Linked DNA regions of Danio rerio. The protein of the gene in region 2 interacts with the protein of the main gene of each other region in a pairwise test. Links are inferred from orthologs where the notes say so. Each region holds a gene or a part of one and is shown on either strand. Other genes may lie near its edges.

The links. The genes of interacting proteins can lie anywhere in the genome.
Region 1: the proteins of agtrap (region 2) and acsf2 interact in binary tests that used the Homo sapiens proteins (3 or more experiments, as listed by UniProt). The two-hybrid records come from large-scale screens. The link is inferred for Danio rerio from reciprocal best matches to the Homo sapiens genes AGTRAP and ACSF2.

The regions. Positions count from the first base shown.
Region 1 is NC_133187.1:28,298,286-28,306,495, forward strand, and holds part of acsf2 (medium-chain acyl-CoA ligase ACSF2, mitochondrial precursor), read right to left. Parts: intron 4,351-8,210; coding exon 4,243-4,350; intron 4,164-4,242; coding exon 4,012-4,163; intron 3,924-4,011; coding exon 3,782-3,923; exon of another isoform or gene 2,596-3,781; intron 2,557-2,595; coding exon 2,446-2,556; exon of another isoform or gene 1,964-2,445; intron 1,747-1,963; exon of another isoform or gene 1,675-1,746; intron 1-1,674. UniProt on the Homo sapiens protein: Acyl-CoA synthases catalyze the initial reaction in fatty acid metabolism, by forming a thioester with CoA. Has some preference toward medium-chain substrates. Plays a role in adipocyte differentiation.
Region 2 is NC_133186.1:18,186,161-18,191,865, reverse strand, and holds the end of agtrap (type-1 angiotensin II receptor-associated protein), read right to left. Parts: intron 4,470-5,705; coding exon of another isoform or gene 4,396-4,469; exon of another isoform or gene 3,796-4,395; intron 776-3,795; coding exon 651-775; 3' UTR 627-650; downstream 1-626. UniProt on the Homo sapiens protein: Appears to be a negative regulator of type-1 angiotensin II receptor-mediated signaling by regulating receptor internalization as well as mechanism of receptor desensitization such as phosphorylation.

The DNA.
Region 1 (8,210 bases), on a different chromosome or scaffold from region 2:
TTCAATAGCGCGTTTACAGTGTAGGTTGTGTCAAAGCAGCTTAACATAGAAGCTCTAGTAAATTGAAACTCTCCGTCTAGTTGAGTTCAGTGTGGTTTAAATTTCACTGCTGAAAGTCCAAACACTGAAGAGCAAATCCATCAATGCACAGCTCCACAAGTCCTAAACCAAGCAAGCCAGAGGCGACAGTGGCGAGAAACAAACTTCACCAATTTGTTAAATGTTTGTTTTTAAAAATGGAGTGTAATTGAATTGATTAATATATTATAGATACAAATAAACAAAATACATTTATTCATGCAAAAAACTATACAGAGATCACGGAGAGCATCTTTTAACTCTACTTTTGACAAGATCTGTATAAATTGTCACACAGGTGAAGCAGACTTATCTCACATGTTTTGAATGTGCCCTAAGCTTACTCCTTATGCGCCTATGGCAAGCTGTGTTGACATTTAATCTATAACCCATACTGGTGTTTGTTTTCATGTTTCTAGAGCTTATTTTTTAGATACTATTACTTTATCCATTAAGTACTAGTACTTAGATACTTCAATATGTATTAGATACTAGTGCCTATTCATTAGATACTAGTGCTTATTATTTAGATTCTAGTGCTTTTACAAAATATACTAGTGCTTACTCATTAGACACTAGTGCTTTTTATTAGATACTAGTGCTCATTCATTAGTTACTAGTACTTATTCATTGCATAGTAGCATCTATTTTAATAGTGACTAGTAACTATTCTTTTGTTAATAGTAACACATTAATTTTTTTCCCAATGATTTCTATGGGATCTTTCATTGAGATATCATCTATTCAGTTTTGACTAGTATGTATTCCAGCTGGACATATTTTTACATACTAGTCGTTAATCAGAAAGTAATTAATAGATACCGGTATTTATTTAATGGATACCAATTCATTAGATACTAGTAACTGTTCATCAGTACTAGTATTTATTTACTAGACACTAGTATCTTTTATAACTATTAAAATAGTTATAAATAGTAATAGTAAAATACTTTTGTATATTTTAAAACTGATTAGTTGATATTTCAATGACAGATCCGATAGAAATAAATAGAATTTCTTTAAATGTATTACTAGTAACAACATAATAGTTACTAGTCACTACTAAAACAAGTACTAATATCTAATACATAAGTACTATTATCTATTTAATAGGTACTAGTATCTAATGAATGAGCACTCGTATCTAATAAAAAGAACTAGTGTCTAATGAGTAAGAACTAGTATATTTTTAAAAAGCACTAGTATCTAAATAATAGGCACTAGAATCAAATGAATATGCACAAATAAGTAATAGTACTTAATGGAAAGATACTAGAATCTGAAAACTATGCACTATTAACATATAAATAAATACTAGTATGGGTTATAGATTAAATGTCAAAAGACTTGCCATACTCGTCAACCATATTCGATATATAGTCTTAAGTGCAGCTTAAGTCATGTGCGGAATTTGCATTGTTTGGCATTCTACGTGGTGAATTGAGTCTGACTTTGTATCTTTACTCGCTCACAGACTAATTCTATTGCATTGGGAGTCTTTAAATCCATCTAAAGCATCACACTGGATTGAAGATCTGAAGAGCAAACGTTTGGCAGTGCTCCGCTATAAATGTACTTCCTGGGGAACAATGTGACTTATCTTGTATGTAACTGTAATTTCCTTTTCTTTTCTTTGTCTGTCCAGACCAGGGGTGCCCAAACTTGCTCCTGGAGGGTATGGTGTCCTGCATAGTTTAGATCCAACCACAATCAGACCCACCTGGGCTAGCTAATCAAGCTCTTAGTAGGCTCGCTAGAAGTGTCCTGGCAGGTGTGTTGAGGCAAGTTGGAGCTAAACTCTACTGGACACTGGCCCTCCAGGACCAAGTTTGGGCAAGTATGGTTGTCTATTTATTTATTACTATCTTATTTTATACAATTTTGCTGTTTATTTCTATTATTTTCATGTGTGTCTTCACTTTTTATTATCATTACAGTCAATTTATTTGGCAATGTTTTAAGAAGTGGGTTTATTTTAAAAAACATCTATCTCTGTATAAACAATGACATCTGTTCTTAGCATAAAAATAAAGGAAAAAAGTATATTGAAGTGCTTAACTCTGAAAGTAACTTTGTTTATTTTAAAAATGGATTATTGAGTATAATGGAAGAAATGTAATTAAAGGAAATGTATTTATTTTTATATAAGAATTAGATTTCCTAAATGACTCAAGTAACATGATTTCAGATATTCTTTATATTTGTTTAATAATAATTGTTTGTGTATTTCTATGTTTAAATTACATATTAAATTTACTCCAGTGAATATTCACAATCTAATAAATTGTATATAAACATTTTAATGGTGAACAAGTGTGTACATGTGCAGGGAGACACACACAAGCTTGAGAATCCAAATTTCCTGACCTTTCCTTTGCAGTAAGCCTTAATCTCTTCTACAGTGCATTCCTGACCCTCCTTAAGTCGAATACAAGCACATACTTCCTCTCCCATCCTCTCATCCTTCACACCAACCACCTGTGTGAAAAAAACAGACATTAAAAATGCTCAAACAACCTTGCTAACTATAAAATGGTGGCTAACAGTTAATGAAAACCAGATAGCACAGTTAAAAAAGCCTGGACTAAAAGTTAAACCATGTTTACATGTTGATATCATGACATAATTCATTCAACTGTAACATAGCAGATTTTGAAATATTTCTAGAATATTTCAACACGTGTATTACATGATTTTATAGGTTGCAACCATGCAGTTAGCACTGCTAGAAAGAATTGGCATGTTGTTAGCATGATTAAACACATTTCTAACATGTTTTAACACAAGGCTAAAGTTTTAATTTGTTGACAGAATTAATTAGCATCTTACTAGCATGTCTATTTTATTTGTTTCTAACATTAGCCATTGCTTGCATGTTTCTAATCCTTGATGAAAAAACAGAATGCACTGGCAAGGTTTGTTTGGATGCTGGTTTATGGTTCTTTCTGGTTCTTTATTCATTCATTCCTGGTCATGTGCTGTAGGGAAGCAGCAGGAACCAGTATAAACCAGGATTAAAACATAACTTACCAACATACACAGGCTTTTTCAGCAATTAATAGCCATTTCTTTCACTTTTCTACCCTGTTAAACATTTGTTGATAGTATTTTTAACACATGGGCAATACGCTTGAACTGTTCAGTGAGTTAATTGCTAGCATGACATAACAAGTTGCTTCCAAACAGATAAGACTTAAATTTTTGCTAGCATGTTTTATTATCCTATATCCTGTGGCTAAAATGAATTTACTACAAGACACATTGACACCATCAATTGACATGTTGTTAGAATGGTTAGTATTTTACTAGCAGGTCGCCAGGTTGCTAACTTGAATTAGCATGCTATTTTTAACACATTTGACATGTTAATAGAATGAGTTGGCATATTGTTAGCATAGTTTACCACAAATTACATTTTGTCAGCACCGATTATTAGGCAGATTTTGCAAGTTGCTATGATGGTTCTAACACTTTAGTACCAAGTTTTAACACCATGCAAGCATTAATTATAATTACACTAGCATTATACCATATTTACACTCTTTGCTAGCATGTTTTAGTTAGTTAGTTGTTAGTCTTTGCTAGTATATCAGTAGCCTATATTGACTTTCTCCAGCTAACATTATTGAAGCTAATAATTTGTTTCTGAGAATTATGAAGTGCTAAAGGTAAATATAAACATTTTTTTATAGACGCTGCTGACCTGTGCTTCTAGAATTTTGGGATGTGTGTGCAGAAACTGCTCAATTTCAGCAGGATAGATGTTTTCTCCTCCTCGGATGATCAAATCTTTGATGCGCCCCTCTATTTTGCAGTATGCAAACTGGTCCAAACTGGCAATATCACTGTATGAACCACACAGCAGAGACACTCAGTCAAGACAGCTGGGATATAATTTATAACAATGTAATGAGGAGTATCAAGCACACTTACCCAGTTTTGTACCAGCGGTCTTTCGTGATGCACTCACGGGTCTTCTCCTCATCCTGCCAGTACTCCAGCATCACACAATACCCTCTGATCATCAGCTCCCCCTGAGCCCCCAGAGGCACGATCTCTCCTGTTGTAGGGTCCACGACTTTAGCCTAATGGAGAAACAATAATTCAGTGTGCTAGAACTGATGCCTAAAGAGCACCTTAATAAAGTGGTGTTTGAAAGTGCACCTCGGTGTGTGGGGAAATACATCCAACAGTCTCTATCTTTCTCTCTGCACTGTCCACAGGAAAGCCACAGAATGTCACAGGGCTGTTTTCAGTTGTGCCATAGCCAATCTGTTCAAAAGCACAAGGATGACACAGTGAGAGTAAAGCACATAAAAATATAATTTTTTAATAATGAACATATTCAAGTGACAATATTCAAGCAGAAATTTCAGGAAGCTGCACAGCGATTTAAAAAAAAACTAATCGAAGAGCCTTAATATAGCATAAAATTTTATTATATATAATATTAAATGATATTGTACAAACAATTACAATTGTAAACAGTATACAGTGCTCATCATAATTGAGTACACCCCATTCTGTAAATGAATATTTGTATTCATTTTTCTCAGTGAATATAGCAATGTATTTTGGTGCATTTAAACAAAACAGATTTATTAAACAGATATATCTATTAAAATAATATTTTAGTCGTCACCAAACATATTTAGAAACTGAAAGATAATACAAATAAATTCAAGCTAAAATTGCAAAAAAAAAAAAAAAAAAAAAAAAAAAATCACAACCTACACATTTTCAACTAAATCTTTACATTTTTCTCTTCTCTAGATTTTTCCTTTTTTTAATTTGTATTTAATATTTTTCTATAATATAAATTTGGGTGTACTAGTTTTTGGACCGTTATCGTAAATTATTTTGTTAGATAAGTTCCAGATTTGGCTTCAGTACTGAGTAAACTAATGTGAATGCACAAATATAATATTGCATAACTTCCTATTAAAAATATGAATTTTAAAGAGATTTGTGAGGTGTGTACTTATATATGCTGAGCACTGTATGTATGTATATTATGCAGTATATAATATCATTATTAATAATAAATAATGATTAACAATAACAATGATTTCAAAATTTCAGATTTTTCTTGAATTAAAAAAATTAGAAAATATTATTATAAAACATTACATTACTATATAATGTGTATGTAATAAAATGTTAAAGTTTAGAAAAGCTATTAAATTAATAAAAGAAAATTATATATATATATATATATATATATATATATATATATATATATATATATATATATATATATATATATATATATATATATATATATAAATGGTCCTGAATTGACAATTACATATAAAATAAATTATATAGGGGTGTGTGCGCACATGTATGCAATTATAATGTGTTTTACAAAATCTAGTGTTATATAAGCAATTATTAATTTATAATAGATTTGGGATCTTGTTAAATTGATAAAATAGGTCATAAAATAGACAAATGTATGTATGTATGTATGTATGCATGTATGTATGTATATGCACATACTTCTCATACCTTCTTTTATCATTTAATGTTAATAATAGTAATACATAGTACTGAAATGTGAGACTGTGTACTGTATATGTAAGGGTTTGTGACAATAACCTCCTGACATTTATGCTATGAAACACTAGTAAACTTCAGCCTGTGTGCTTGCATTACTATTTCTGCACAGCATATTGTGGTAAAGACCTAAATCTGATATTCTATTCCTCAAATTTGCCAAAAGGCAAGCAGAAGGCTAAATGAATGATCTGAATGGGACAGGGCTGAGAGGCAGGTGAGGTATGTGGTGCCCATCTGACAAACTGGCACAGCAGCCTTTTCACTTTACAGTCTAAAACAAATCTCCCAAACACTCAGGCTTTCGAGATAATGTGCCCTGGAAACAACTCCTCACACTGTTACTGAGAGACATAACCTCATCATTTCAATTTGTGTTTACAAAACTCAATAACACAAGCTGCCGGCTGCTGAGAGACTCACTGATGTGCCAGACATTCATGATGTTTGTGTGGAATATTTTAAGTGAGTCACAAGCTTCTGGACTCAATAAGTATATATACTGTATATTTAAATGCACACATCATCATTAATGGCCTTTTCCAGTGCTGCGTTATTGGTATTTCAGTGACAAACCCTACTGCATCATTACTCACTTGATATTTCTACATATAAATGTTACATTTAAAAATTATTCAGACATCTTCAACATTACTCCTATTATAAAAGTTTATTCGCTCTTCAGCAGAACAAAATTTTCTTGAGATTTCCAGTTCACTTCATTCAGTTCAATTTGTTTTTAACTATAAGAAAACAGCTTATTATGCTGCCTTAATGATGTTTTAAATGTGTATTTTCTTATTATATTTTTATGTATTGCAATACAGTTGTTTGTAGAGCAAGTAGTTTTACTGTTTACTGGCATTTACTATTCTTGGTCATTTCCTGATATGCAATTTCCTAATCATAATTATTTACATGTCATTTGTTATTATTGGTTATTTTATAACAGATATTGGTCACTCTCTACAATAAGGTTTCCCCAACAGTCCAAAGGCATGTGGTAAAAGTCAACTGGATGAACTAAATTGGCCATAGTGTATGAGTGCGTATGTGAATGAGAGTGTATGGGTGTTTCCCAGTACTAGGTTGCAGCTGTAAGGGTATCCGCTGTAAAAAACATGTCGGAATAGTTGGCGGTTCATTCTGCTGTTCATTCAAGGTTAGGTATTTACTAACATGAACTAATTATAAACAATACTTGTACAGTATTGAGTAACATTTATATATTATTAACATCAAAATGTACGCTCGTTAGCATTTGTTAATGTACCATTAGTTAACTACCATGAACAAATACTAGAATAAATGTAATGTTTATTGTTTGTTCATAATACTAAATCCATTAACTAACATTAACTAATGATACCTAATTGCAAAGTGTTACCCACATAACAATAACTAGTCAATGCAACCATTAGCCAAACTAGCTACACTAGCTTCTTTGAGTTGCATTTGTAAAGTGTAAGGTGTGAAAGTGGAGTTTCCCGATAAAATGTTAAATTTGTTAAGCAAACACTAGATTCCGCCGATCCTGAAGGTGAGACGCTCATAAACAAATCTTACAGCTTTGAGCCAAAGGAGTACAAGGATAAAAGTGTGACTGACTTATGTAAATGTTAGTTTAAATAACAATAGTTTGTGATTCCACAATATACTTTTTCTCTTTTTTATACTGAATACTGTACATAGTTGAAACGAAAGGGGCCATTTATATAGAGGAATGTGTCTCTCTAAATGAAACGCTCCTCTGCAGACAAAAGAAGAAGAAAAAACTCCATTTCCATTGTTGTTATGCGTTACCAGCCAAACATCTGGCGGTGATTATATGTTATAAAACACCCGCCGCATGGGAGTGTCTCCTTTTCCTCCTTCTGCTGACTAAAAACAATGGAAATGTCTGGCACGACATGCAGTCTCACCTTAACCTCACCAGATTTGGCTGCACACAGACAAGCCTGTGAATTGAGAGACTAAGACAGAAAACACTCACATTTCAGACCTCTGAACTCACTTATAACTAACATGCTCGTATATTTTCAGGTAGGAAAAAACTAAATTCAAGCTAATAAATGAAATTTCCAAATTTCTATGTGAATATGATGAAGAAGATTCAAATTTGAGTTGCTTCACAAACTCAACAGAGCTGAAAATTGAAATATAATGAAAGTATAATGAAAGATTCACACAAAACGAACATTTAAAGGTCCTGTGAAGTGCTTTGAAATGTGGTCCATGTACGTTTTGCTCATTTGTTTGCCAATTTTAAACTCAGCATCAGGTGCACAGCAGCAAGAAGTTTGGCAGCGAATTATAAGCATATTATTATTATTGTTATTATTATTATAAAGGCCTTACTCAGAATCAATTATGCAAACCAGGTTCTGCTCGGAAATGTCTTTGCAAATCTTTGCTAAGCATCAGGTGCATATCAGCAAAAAGTTTGGCGGTGAACAATAGCCTTATTTTAATGACAATTGTCTAATAATACTACTAATTTATGCATATACAATGAATGTAAGCCTGCTAACTGTGTGTGGTTCAATTGATAGAATATGTAAACTTAGTTAATT
Region 2 (5,705 bases):
TCGTACAATTTAGTACGATTTGCTCATCACCCAATGACGGTTGGGGTTAGGGGTGGGGTTAGGTGCCATGCCTACTTTTTAAAATCATTCATTTTTGTATGACTGAACTTGTACAAATTTGTACGAATTAGCCACTAAACTGACAAAACGTAAAATACTTGCGTTTTCTTGTGAGATCAGGTTGGAAAAAAAAGTTTAAACCTTTCACAAAATGGACCAATTTTATGCTACAAAATAGTAAATGAAGAAAAGTAAAAGTAAAAAATAATAATAATGTTGTGCACACCAAAATTATAGCATCAAGGAACCTTACTGTGAAGCAGCAAATTTTGAGCTTCACAAATAACACCTTTAAAAAATCAAACAGCTTGCACTTGTACAAAGCAGTCCTAAGGTTAAAAAAAAGGTGTTGAAGGTGGGTTTTCATTTATCTCTGAGTTTTCTTCAGTAACGAGGCATCTCCAAATGTAAAGTTGTTTTCCTTCATGCTTCAACATTATATTTAATACTATTATTTATAATAATAATGATAATAATAATAAATAGGCATACAAATTAAACAAAAACATACACAAATCATGAACCAAGCAAAAATTCACATTTAGCCTGGGTTGCAAAACATTTTGCTATATATATTTTTTAATAAATGTTTAGTAGGAACGAGTGCCAGATTTGCCATCTTCCGCTTGGCCAAAGGGGTTGGCAGAGCTTCCAGATTGATCGTTGTGGTCAATAGACTGGTAGGCATCTCTGTTTCGAGATATTGATGGGAAACCTGAAATTTAAAAAAATAAGAAAAATAAATCCAGAATTAATGAATGGAAAGTCCAACTCAATCTCATGTACAATTCTTTAATGATTAGGTTTACTGGGGGGGACTTCCATGCTTACTGTTTTCAAGAAACACACACTTAAAAAAAATAAAAATACATATTGACATTGTTAACTCACCATATGATTTCTTGATATCAGCAAGAGCAATATTCAGAACCTAGCCTAATCTTTTCTCATTCATCCAGAATGATCATGATCCATTAACTGAAGAAACTTCATTAGTAAATGAGTAAACGGACACTTTTTACTGCACATTTATAGTCTAATGTTCTAAATGACATTTTAGACCTTATTTCTTTAACATGCAAAACTACTTTGTAAAAAAAAAAACTAGTAATACAAAAGGAAAGAAAAAAGAAATCAAGCCAAGTAAAACGGATCAATTTGATTTTGCTTCTATTTATTTAAGCACAACCTGAGAAGTCCAGTCTAAATAAAAAATTATTACACGATTCCCTTATAATGTGCAATAAAAACACAGGCAAATATTGACAACTAATTTAAATGCAATAAATCAGCACTTCTGTGCCCATTCAGTCAGACGTTATACAGCTAGAAAATGAACTGTTGTGTTACAGTGTGGATATTTTCGAGATAATCATGAGGGGGGACCTTCGAGACCTTCATAAAACAGTTATTATTATTATAGCAATACAAAAGTTATTATTATAAATTCCTTTTTAACATAATATTATAGCTAATTTAACTGCTGTAAAACATGTTAAATAACAGTTTCCGTATTTCGTGATTCACAAGCATTTATCCATTTATTTACGAGTAGGAATTGCATTATGGGATCTTGATCTTTGCTCTGTCGACTTTTGATGTTGAAAATTTATTCACACTTTAGTAGTTTGAAATAATATAATGTATAAGAAATTATATGTAAAGAGTAAAGAAAAAAGTCACAGAAAATGTACCATAATGCATTTCAAAAACATAAATAAACAGAAAATAAAATAAAATACACAAAATATGGAAAACTGCTAATTTAAAGGGCACCTAAACATCGTTTTTAAGCAGTTTGAACATAACTGAGTTTAGGTATAATTTGTCCACAGTCATATTGAAGTGATAAAAATACACTAAGTCTCTTTTTTTTAATTTCCTGACAGTAAAATAGGATCCAAATTTTCCCCATTTTGCGGCCCACCACAACGTGACGTAGGAGTGTGGTTCCCGTACCCACCAAAATGATTGACGTCGCGTATTAACATGTCTCTGTAGTAACGCCTATAATCATATCAACAAGACAGGACATACACAAAGAAACTGGTATCGCTGTGAACATCAATCATCATCAAATATGATCAAGAATGAGTTTTACAAATTTAAAACCTTTTTAAAACTTTATTACAGAGATTTTACCGTCTTTACTTTATCACCACAGCCACATATCAGTACAATTATAAAAGAAGAATCCCGGTTATGGACATTAAATCAAGTTTAATATGTACATTAACATAACAGATATCCACACAGCAGAGGATATTAACGTGTATCCTGTCACAACTGCGTGTGTGTGTGTGTTTGTGTGCGTGAACTAGAGGTCTGCATTCAACCCGACCAGATTTCTGCGGTGCGGTAATACATTTCCGAATAAAGCGCGGGAGCGGTCGGTAACTGGTTTAATTTTGGACGGGAGTAACTGTCCAACAATATCGCTCCCGACTTCCGAGCGAGCGAGCACGCGTATGTATGTGTGTGAATGAGACAGCAGCAAACAAGCTAAACACAGCATCACTCTGTGTGTGTGTCTGTGCGTGTGTGCGTGTACGAATGAGAGAGAAAGCTTTGTGCTGTCTGTGTGTGTGAGTGAGAGAGAGAGAAAGAGTGTGATGCCTATGTGTGTGTGTGTCACTTGCTTGGTGCTTATGTGTGTGTGTGTGTGTGTGTGTGTGTGTGTGTGTGTGTGTGTGTGTGTGTTTATACAGACAGTTTGTTATAGGCTGTCTGGACTCTGTATAGCTGGGTGGTTTTCGGTTTTGTTCTCCCCCCACTCGTTAGTGGAAACGGGCGCGGCGGGTAGAAAACGGGGCGGGTTCTCTAGCGTAAACTTTATGCAATGATGAGTCTCACACAATGACGTTCCATAGGCTTGAATTAACTCCACAACAAATACATCAAATAATATTTGGGAAAGTTGTTATTGTAGTATTTCTCACAAACGTTTAAGAGATCTGCTTCCTTCGTGTCTGTCACTGTGCTGTTTATCTGATGCAGCTGGAGCCTGAGGCACACTGACAGCCACGTGGGAACAGTGGGCAGGGAGAACTAGCATTAAAGGCACAGGCAACAAAAACAGCTACATTAGCTATGTTTCCAGCCAAAAATGTGAATTAACTTCATGCACAAAACTGAAATATCACACAAAAGACGTGTGAATAAAGAAGTGTTTCCATCCAATGAGTCAAAGAGAGCAATATCATCACATCACAAGTGACTTGCACCGCAGAAGACAAATGCTGACATGCAATGAACTTGTGGTGGCATTTATAGGCCTGAGACGCGGAGCACAGACTCTCTTGACAGTCCTGGAGGTAATTAATAAAATAACACTAATACTGAAATTACTGTTATGGCATTTTAGATTGACCAAATCAATATTTTCAATGCTTTACAGTGTGCTCAGCCTGCTGGTTTATCCTTTCACACACATTTTTACTATCACATGATCTCCTATAACAAAGTCACATGACCTTTTTTAATGTACATAAAAATAATTTGTTTGGTAAAAGTGTTTCCATCGTGGTTTATGCACATTTTTTTCTTGCCGTTTCCATCAACCATTTTCTGGGCGAATGTCTAAAATATGCATAAAAATAGATGGAAATTACAATATTCTGAAAGGTATTATAAATAATCTGATGGTTGTTTTGAGCTGAAACTTTCCAGACACAGTAAATGAACACATCTTAAATATTGAAAAAGGGGTAAAATATGTGCCCTTTAAAGTTTAAATTAAGTTTTTCAGCTTTATCTTTATTTTTTAGTTTATACTTTATCTTCTAGATATTAAAAATACTTAAACATAAAAAAAAACAAATAGGTACGTATGAACACGTTTAGAACAATGACCAACCAAATACTACTTGAATCCAAGTTACAATCTGTTGTTGAAGAATTTCGTAAATAATTTCTAACATTGATGATTGGAACCTCCTGTAATGCCTTAATGAATAAAGTACTGCCATAAAAAGACTGTAATGCTGAGTGCATTGTATTGTATCTTTACGCAGACACTTCTTGATCAAATAAACTTCACAACTGATGATTTTCTTTACACACACACGCACGCACGCACACACACACACACATTCAAAGAGAATAAAAGAATGTCATAGATATATAAAAACAGAAAAGAACAAAAGAAGACTTACAGGAAACACTCAAATGCACAATTATTTACAATAAGCATGGTGATGGGATGCATAAATACAAAAACACAAAATGTGAATAGGAATAAGAAAAAAATGAAATTAACCACAACAGTTCACAGATGAAAATGTCCAGTTATTAGAGGAAGCTGAAGAGGACTGCAGGAGGGAAAGAAGGGAAGGTTCAGTAGCGACGGCCAAGCAATGTGCTGTCCGCACTGTCTGTGGTGCAGCGACTATCCATGGATGTTTCCAAGTCTGAGAGACAAATACAGAATACAGCGAGACAGCAAGCAGGGCAGTGAATGAAGAAAAGAAGTCACATACAGAACATGAAGAATTAAAAAGAAAGATGAATAATGGACACACGAAAACCACATCAGAACCCAAAACTAACATGATCAGTGTATAAAATAATAAAAAGTAATAATTAAAAAGTTAATAATTGAAATTACAATAAAAGTTCAGAATAAAGAAAAATAAAGAAAAAGAAAAAAATACATCCACCATACAACAATCACCAGTTGGCAACCTTAACATCATACCTAAAATTAACCCTGACATTATTCTGCTTTTGTTTACTGAATTAATCTAAAAAAATATGAATATAAAAATGATTTTGAGTTTAAACTAGTTGATTATGTAATTTATTGGAGAGATGTAAAGGATTTTCATATTTTCTTTGCAGCAAAAAAGCAGAAATGTATGAAAAAAGCCAATGTAATGTATGACATGCCACAGCCATGTCACCCTGAAGCCCAAGACCTTTTACTCACTGAATCTAAGCAGGGCTGAGCCTGGTCAGTACCTGGATGGGAGACCACTAGGGAACACTAGGTTGCTGTTTGAAGTGGTGTTAGTGAGGCCAGAAGGGGGCGCTCAACCTGTGGTCTGTGTGAGTCCTAATGTCCCAGTAAAAGTGAGGGGAACACTACACTGTCAGTGGGCGCCATCTTTTGGATGAGATGTTAAACCGAGGTCCTGACTCTCTGTGGTCAATAAAAATCGCATGGCACTTCCAAAGTCCCTCTATCGGCCCTCACGATCATGGCCTCCAAATCATCCCCTCCCACCGAATTGGCTCTATCACTGTCTCTCCACTCCACCAATAGCTGGTGTGTGGTGAGCGCACTGGCGCCGATGTCCTCTGGCTACCGTCGCATCATCCAAGTGGATGCTGCACACTGGTGGTGGTGTGGAGATACCCCCCCTCATGATTGAGAAGCGCTTTGGGTGTATGGCCATACACAATAAATGCGCTATATAAATACACATTACATTACATTACATGTTCAGCCATTCTATGCGTGGTCCACATAAGTGTGTGTGAGAACTAAACATAGCATGTGAAGAGATGAAGTCAAAATTATAAAAAAAAATTATTTAAATAAATATATATATATATATATATTTCTTAAGGGGGCTAATAGTGTTGTAAACTGCTTTTAAAGCCACAGCCATATCACTCTGCAGCAAGATCAGTTACTCACTGAA